2 linked regions of the Arabidopsis thaliana genome follow. The protein of the gene in region 2 interacts with the protein of the main gene of each other region in a pairwise test. Each region holds a gene or a part of one and is shown on either strand. Other genes may lie near its edges. The genes, in order: AT2G33250 and AT2G13290.

Region 1 (3,870 bases), 8.6 Mb from region 2:
CTGGATTTGACTGCATAACAGGATCATAATACGAGAAGAATAAGAAGATATCTACAGAGAGAAACTCAGTGAGTCTGTCTCTAGTAAGAATGTAGATGCATTGTAAACAGACTATCTACCTCCAAAACTTGCTGTTCGACAGATCGTCCTTCACTCTCAGCTTTTCCACCCATGTATGCAAGATATTGCATGAGCATTTTTGTGCTCTCTGTCTTCCCAGCACCGCTTTCTCCACTCACCAAGATCGCCTGGCTTACTCCCTCGTTGATCATTTTTCTAAATTTATATTCTTGATGATGGTGAGGCCCAAAAAAAAATGATAGTGCAACATTAGTTAAAGTTTCATCTATGCAACAAAAGATTACCTGTATGCAGAATCAGCAACAGCAAAAGGATGTGGGCTTAACTCGCCAAAATCTGTGCCCTTATATTGCTCCATTATCTCATTTCCATATAGGTGGGGTAATCTTTTAAAGGGATTCACAGCTATCAGTATATTCCCTGTGTATGTCTGTAACCATCAAGAAGAAATTAGCTTGCTACAAACACTTCAGAGAAATATTAATGATATTGCTATAACTGTGCAGTAATTTTCAGCAAAACAATGGTAGAGATAATCATAGAATTCATAAGTGGGTGTAATGAAAGAAGGAAAACTGACAAGAGTTACATGCTGAAGCGTACATATATTTCATTTGCATTGTATCTGGCTTTTAGATTGAGAAGAACCCCTGGTTCATGCAAATACGCAAGCTTTGTCATGTCGTCCACACCAAGCTCAGGAAACTCAGGATCCTTGGGGTGGACAGCATTAACCTTTGCCACAACCTACAAACAAATGCATCACAAATATGAGCAATGTATTCTTAAGGTACCTTAAGAACTAACACATTGTCTCGTTGCTTTGGAGAAAAGGGACTAACCGTCTTGGTTTGGCAATTAACTTTGATCTCTTGACCGTTAGCTTCCACAACTTCTCCATCTAGCCAGGCTTCATCTGGATCTTCCACCCAGACCTGTGACCCCACAGTTACCTTCACTGAAGCCTGATTAAAGTAGAATATATTAGAAACAAATAAAAAAAATATTGTCAAGCTTCATTAGCTGGTTCTTTTGTTCTCTTTTAGACACATCTTATAATGAAATCTAAAATGTAAGGGGCAACATAAAAATCAGCTCAAATAGCAATTATGGTTACAGAAGATAAAAAAAAAAAGGTAAAAATGAAGAACACGGAGAAATCGCAATGCAGATAAGAGAAGAGAGACTCGTACCATTATCACGGCCAAATCTGGTCTGATTTTCCTAGAAATGATCCCGAATAAAGATTTCCAACGGGAGAAACATTAGAAAAAATCCCTGAGAACCCAATCAGCTGGTGTTTCCACACCATGGATCCAAACACCATAAATCAAACACAAAACGCTTCTCTCTCTCTACTAGCTTCAAAATCTCTGATCGACGTTATAAATGCGGAAGATTAAGACTACATTCACGTTTTACGGACGATATTTCAAATTTCTCCGACGATTACAGAGACCTTAAACCCTTCGGCTTTTGCCTTCCAATATTTCCCCAGGAAAGCTGGAGATTCTCGCAGAACGTAAGAAATTTTCTCGCGTTTTCCCTCGGAATATTCTCTCCTGGTTTTTTTTTGTTTTTGCCTTGTTTGATGCTTCGTCTCTCTCTCCCTCGTTTCTGGAAAAAGGAAGAGAAAAGAGAATCCACGTAGGCGTGTCAGGTCAGACATTTGATGATCTCGAAATTACCCCTGCAATTATACCGGATTTCAGTTCTAACATTTCTCCTGGACCAAGCCGGTTTATAGTATTCGATTCTAATGGAGGAGATGATGACAACGTGGCGCAAGTTGAGTGTGTCTATACATGGAGCAGAGCATTTTCTTCACTGTTCTCGCTTCGCCAGACGTTAATGGCGGATAGAGGAGCTCTTTCGTTACCGCGAGCTTCTACTTATCTTAGTTTCTCAAACCTCCATGTCTGGCGATTCCACAACCCTAGATCTTATCCTCCCTCTCGTTCTCAACTCCTCTGTTTCTCTTCCTCATGCTCTAGAGTAACTTCGGCGAAGATAATTCAGCTGAACCGCCGGAGATTCAGCTATAAAATATGCGCCGCCGCTGATGACGGTAGGGGATACCGTTTGACGGAAAGGGGAAAAAGGGGAAGGAAGCGGCGGGAGCTATGGGAAGAACTTTTTGAAGATAATGTTGAAGACGATGATGATGAAGATGATGGTGGTGGTGGAATTGGTAGTGCTAATTTTGACCTGTGGAAGATCTTAGAGGAAATTGTAGATAATGTTTGGATTTTAAAGGTAATTAGTTTCAATCATGCATCTTTTAAGCCTTAATTATGAAATTAGCCGGGAATCTACTACTGCTAATTGAAAATGCTGATTGATTAAAGTATCAAAATTGTTCTTTGGTAATGGTTATGGTGATCATGTAAGAAACAGTTAATATCGTTGTGTAGTGAATCTGAACTAGTTTTGATTTCTAACTAGATAGTGTCTTTCTGCTCAAAGATAAGAGAAACGGCTTTGTTGATATATAGCTGCATTTTATTTGCATACACCAGATTTTGCTCTCTTATTGTTGGTGTGGGATCTTTATTGTGTTTGGTTTATGTTCACTTTGTAGGCATTCAAATCGTATGGATATCTCCTCCCATTCATCATCTTATCGCTTTTCTTCAGCACCGGACCCAAAGCTTTCCTCGTGTCACTAGCCGTAGCAATCGGGCCATCATTGTTATTTTATGCGTTCCAGAAGTTGATTGGTTGGGATAAACGCAGAGGTACATCAATAGCAAATCAATTCGGGATAGAGGAAGAAGAAGAAGAAGTGGAGAGAAGTAGTAGCAGGATTCGATACAACCCATCAACCGTTAGAAACAATGTCAATGGCCGTGGAGTTAACCGTAGTTCAGCTGGAATGGCTTCTAAGTTTGGTGGGTGGGACGAGTTAGACGGGCTTGGTACCACCATTCCCGAACGGCCAACAAGCGAACCGAAGAAGAAACCGTTACCGAAGAGGAAGAGAGTAAGAAGAGAAAAGGCAGCAGAACCATTATTGTTGAGATTGTTGGTGTCTTTGTTTCCATTCTTAAGCACATACACAAACATGCTCAAGTGAAAAACCACTAAACCAAAACAAACCAAGTTGTTCAAATTAAACCGAACCGAAATTGGTTAAAAATAGAGAATAATTATGAGCCTCAATTTCAGTTTGAGCATCACCATTTCTTTTCCATGACTTTCCTCTTATCAAGAACATTTATTTCTCTCACTCTCAGACCTTCTTGTTCGATTTCCATGGCGAATTTAACGACGAACGCTAAAACTCGCCTGAGAGGTGTTGTATTCGATATGGACGGAACCCTGACTGTTCCGGTCATCGATTTCGCCGCAATGTATAGAGCTGTTCTTGGTGAAGATGCTTACAAGCGAATCAAAGCAGAGAGCCCTAGTGGGATTGATATTCTGCATCATATTGAGTCGTGGAGTCCTGATAAACAGCAGAAGGCGTATGAAATCATTGCTGATTATGAGAAACAAGGAATAGATAAGCTTCAAATCATGCCTGGTACGGATTCATCTGCTTTATTTTTTTATTTTTGATTTTGTGTTTGCGCTGAGGAAGTGTTAAGGATTTGGGTTTTCGTCTGATAATCTATCGTAAAATGGGTTAAAGATTGAGAATTTCGTAGAGTTAAAGATGAGAAAAGATTGCAAATTCAAGGCTGAAAGATAAAATGAACATTTGTTAAAAGTGAAGACTTTATGGTCTAACGGAGGTTTGACTTTTGTCTTAGAGCCCCACATCACGATTTGAGATCATTCCTTTAC
Region 2 (4,795 bases):
GGAAAGACACCATCTCCACCAGATCTGAACAGTCTGTAAGAAAAACTACATCTTTGTTGTCGGCACCAATCATACACTTCATCGCTCAGATGAGAGCTTCCACCTCTACATGTAATGAGGATAGACGTCTTCTAAGATAAGCAACTTCCATAGTTAGCGTCCCTACATTTGATGATATACAATACCATCCTTAGCCGGAAAACTTGTCGTTATCTTTCCAAGATCCATCCACAAAACAATAATATTGAGAATAATTGTTGTCAATTGGAAATGCCGCACTCGGTTATGATTTTCTAAATTACAAGAACCATGAGTTTCACTGTGAAGCTCAAGTTGAGCTGACTTCCACGAGTCTGACTCTTTTTCTGCTAAGTGTAACATTTCTAGAGGATCTTTATCTACATTTTTAAAGATTTTTTTTTTTTCTTTCTTTCCAAATATACCAAATTATCCGTGGAAATGAAGATGATTCTAATTCCGAAGGTATGCGCCAAAATAAAGAATCTAAATTTGCATAAATAGATGCATAAAGAAATTTCCCTCAGACTGTAGGTATCTGTGAAAGTGCCCAAATCTAACGCGCATGATGGCATAAGAAAAGCATGTGGTTAATTTTTTCTTCTAAAGCACCACATCTACTACATCCTATCTCAGAGTTTATACCGCGTTATTGTAAATTGTTTGTTACTGGTACCCATCCCGCTAAAATTTGTCACAAGAAGTGACGTAACTTGGGCGGGCACTATACTTTCTATGAGTATGCTTTTAAGACTTTGATGTCTGGGCCAATAAAAGAAGACTTATTATCCAAAGTCTTTAATCGCGCCGTATAATATCCAGATTTAACTATATATTTTCCTGATTTTGTGAAATGCTAACCTAACCTATCTTTCTTAGTTGACACACCCAAGTGCAAAGCACTTATTCGTGTGACATCTTCCGAATCAGAAAGCGTTTATAAAAGATTAATATTCCAGAAATTTGTCTGTGAGTCTATAAGACTCTTGACCTTTAAAGAATGATCAATAGCTGAACTATTTTTTATTGTTAGTCTCGAGAATTGAGTTGGAATCCACGGATCCTCCCAAACTAAGATGGATTATCCACAACCGACTCTTTTAGTAAGTCATTTATTAATCAGGGATCTAGTTGAGCAAATACTTCTCTATTCATAGAATGGAGAATATGATTTTATATTATCCAAAGAGTTGGATTTCCAAAAATTTTGTCCTTTAAGAATCCGCAAAGAGTAAATCTGGAACCGTGATTAAACACCAAAATTGTTTAGCTAGAAGAGCCGGAAAAAATTCGTCTACATTACGAAATCCCAGCCCCCCTTCTGATTTGCTATAACACACCTTATCACATGTTATCCAATGCATATCATTAGATTCACCATTTGAAGTCTACAAGAATTTTGCGATAGTACTTGTGAGCTTTGATGTGATTATTTTCGGTAATCTGAAGCAAGACATAACATAAGTTGGTAAGGTACCGATTTAATCAAAATCATTACGACCGGTCTTGTGATATCATAATCATTTTAAAAAGATAAGATGACCATCGACGTCCATCTTCATCTCAAACCTTCAAATACAATTTTTGGCAACCAAATTTTCTAATGAAACATGAAACCAATAAAAAATTTCAAAAAAACATGTATATAACTTTTTTCCAACAAAATTCTATCGAGTTTTCCAACAAATTTGCATGACATTTTCTTTTTTCATTCTTTTTCTTTATTATCAATATTTTTAGTAAATTTTCAACACAAAACAAATAATAAAAATTGAAATAGAAAACTAAAATATAGTTATAATAAAAAAAACTATAGATAAAATTCAAAAACGAAACAAGCTACAATTAATAAAAAAAAATTAAAACTAAAATCTCCACCAAAAAATTTAAAAACCGAACTTCAAAACCCAATTAAAAACTGGAAAACATCATGACCTTATTCTATTATTAGTTTCGATACAGTATATTTATATTCCGTTTTAACTTTTGTTTTCTTTCGATAAAGATCTGTGGCTAGGCGTAGATTAGCGAGAGAGGTTTAGCGGTCGTTTTACATTCTTCCAAAGCTCTCTCTTTTACAGCTTTTCACAAACAAATCCCAAATCTGATTCTTTCAGCTAAAATTCTTCCATCAATCAATCGAATTGTCAAAAAAAAGATATCACAACCCTTCGTGTGTTCTCATTTCTTAATCTTATACACTTGAAATCTCCAAAAAGGTACCATTTTTATGACTTTGTTATCTCCGTTTTGTGTTCGTTGTTTCCGATTCTCAATTGGGTTATAAGGGTTTAGTCGTTAAACAACTCAATTCTCGTTTTTGGAATTGATGTGAATTTAAAGTTGGAACCTTTTATGTTTTGATCCAAAGAAAAGAATCTGCTTTAGGTTTATGCTTAATTGATAGAGTTTAGTTTATTCTTTGATGCAGGGGAAAAAGAAAATGAGTTGGTGAAGTTTGAGAACCATAGAGATGACGATTCGATCGTTGCGTAAACCACCGCCGGTTAAACTTGTGTTTCCTACTCTGATTATACTCTTCTTGACATGTTTGTTATGTATCTTAACAAATTTCCAAACCATATCGTATCTTTTCCGTCCGCTTTGGGATAAACCGCCACCGCCTTTTAAACGGATACCGCATTACTATGCGGAGAATGTTTCCATGGGACATCTTTGTGAGCTTCACGGCTGGACACCGCGGTTAGAACCGAGGCGAGTGTTTGATGCCATCATTTTCAGTAATGAGCTTGATCTTCTTGAAGTCAGATGGCGGGAATTGGAGCCTTATGTGTCGAAGTTTGTGATATTGGAGTCAAACACTACGTTTACCGGGATCCCGAAGCCGCTTTTCTTCGATTCCAATAAGGAGAGATTTGCGTTTGCGGAGGGGAAGATTGTACATGGAGTGTTTCCTGGGAAGAAACGGTCTACGGGGCAGCCGTATGAGGATCCGTTTTTGCTTGAGGGGCAACAGCGAGTTGCGATGAACTGGTTGCTTAGAGAAGCTGGTGTATCGGATGGAGATGCGGTGATAATGTCAGATGCAGACGAGATTCCGAGTCCTCATACTGTGAAGTTTCTACAGTGGTGTGATGGGATACCAGATGTAATGCATTTGGAGATGAGGGAATACATGTACTCCTTTGAGTTTCCGGTTGATTACAGTAGCTGGAGAGCCTCTGTTCATATATATAGTAGGAAGTGGACTCAATACCGGCACTCACGACAAACGGACTTGATATTATCCGACGCAGGGTGGCATTGCAGCTTCTGTTTCAGACGACTCAACGAGTTTGTTTTCAAGATGAAAGGTTATAGTCATGCAGATAGAGTCAAACGCAAGGAGTTTTTGGATTATCAGAGGATACAAAAACATATTTGCAAAGGTTATGATCTCTTTGACATGCTTCCTGAAAAATACAGCTTCCAAGAGTTGATTAGCAAAATCGGACCCATCCCGCCTTCTGCGTCTGCGGTACATCTACCAGCCTTTTTGATTCAGAACGCTGCTCGCTTTCGGTTTCTCCTCCCGGGAGGTTGTCTCCGAGAACCCTAGCTGAAGATTAAGTACAAAATAGAGAAGCAATAGTTTCTTGTTACAAAGGTTTTTGGCGTCACACCAACTTAACCTGAAACAACAGATAAATAAAGAAATAGATCTTATAACATGTTCTGTTTTCTTACAAAACTTATGGTGATTACAAGACCGGGCCAACAACCATCATTAGTCTCACTCTAGTACCAAATTAACTCAACCTTATAGACAAGCATATCTGGTTTAAACGCACTGGACAAAGAAGAGGTAAGCCACATAGCTTATAGTGGGAGACTCATTATGAACGTAAAGACAGAATCAAGAAACAATATGACCAAAAACCAGTGATTGTTTAAATGTTCCTCTTTTGTTTACCCTCTAAACACTATGGCAAATAATCAATAACAATCTCAACATTGTTGAAAAACCAATATTTTTTTTATCACATGATCCAAAGAGTTGTGTTTCTTTATTTTATTTTTTTGGTAAGCTTGTAAATATCATTAGAAATGAAAGTGAAGAGATTACAGAAGCAACACCTAAAGTAGAGTAATCTTGGGAAAAAAAGAAAGTAAAAAACAAGATTACAATAAAGCCAAAGTGGGATACAAGTTATCTAATCCAAAGGAGCATGAGCAGACGCCAACGCTTCCTATGTCGTCTTCCGGATATGATGTTGCGGACTTGACGATCAACGAGCTTGAAGGTTCCAAAGGCAGTGATCCAATGGTTGTTGTGAAGGTAGTTATTTCGTTGAAGCCAAATATGATAAATTGCGGTTTGCGTAGCCACCTTGTGTTTCTTTATCGTAACATGTCCTTAATGTTTTTGGCAAAACTTTTTTACATATATTGTTGTAATGTTTTCACAAACTTTCTTGTAACTTGTCTTTTTTTTCGAGTGTCCTCTTGCTTCTATTGAAGTTATACGACTGAAATTAACAACTAACAAAAATAGTGTAAAATCAATGTGATTAAAAATCAAATTTATAACGAAAAATAGTTCTTAGCGAAATACAAATCAACTATAGAACATTATTCATACTAATGTACCCTCATTGAAGCAATGTAAGTATCCCAATGCGTTTTTCCTGCTCAATTAAGCGCCTTTCGGGACTTTGTAAACTGAAATATCAATAGAAATGAATTAGATAAGCTTGTGAGAACTGAGAAAAATGCATAGTCTAGTGATAGTTACCTCCGCAATAAGATCCAGGGACTAAGAGGTCGCCGCATGCAT

Evidence for each region.
Region 1: the proteins of AT2G13290 (region 2) and AT2G33250 interact in a protein complementation assay, tested with the Arabidopsis thaliana proteins (one large-scale study listed by BioGRID).

The regions. Positions count from the first base shown.
Region 1 is NC_003071.7:14,095,522-14,099,391, forward strand, and holds AT2G33250 (uncharacterized protein), read left to right. Parts: upstream 1-1,847; 5' UTR 1,848-1,932; coding exon 1,933-2,337; intron 2,338-2,662; coding exon 2,663-3,157; 3' UTR 3,158-3,230; downstream 3,231-3,870. Other genes in the region: XID (myosin XI D), read right to left, coding at 1-10, 120-276, 366-511, 685-828, 924-1,046, 1,337-1,393; AT2G33255 (Haloacid dehalogenase-like hydrolase (HAD) superfamily protein), read left to right, coding at 3,274-3,607.
Region 2 is NC_003071.7:5,509,567-5,514,361, forward strand, and holds AT2G13290 (beta-1,4-N-acetylglucosaminyltransferase family protein), read left to right. Parts: upstream 1-1,995; 5' UTR 1,996-2,237; intron 2,238-2,432; exon of another isoform or gene 2,433-2,449; 5' UTR 2,450-2,491; coding exon 2,492-3,577; 3' UTR 3,578-4,272; downstream 4,273-4,795. Other genes in the region: AT2G13295 (protease inhibitor/seed storage/lipid transfer family protein), read right to left, coding at 4,655-4,680, 4,754-4,795.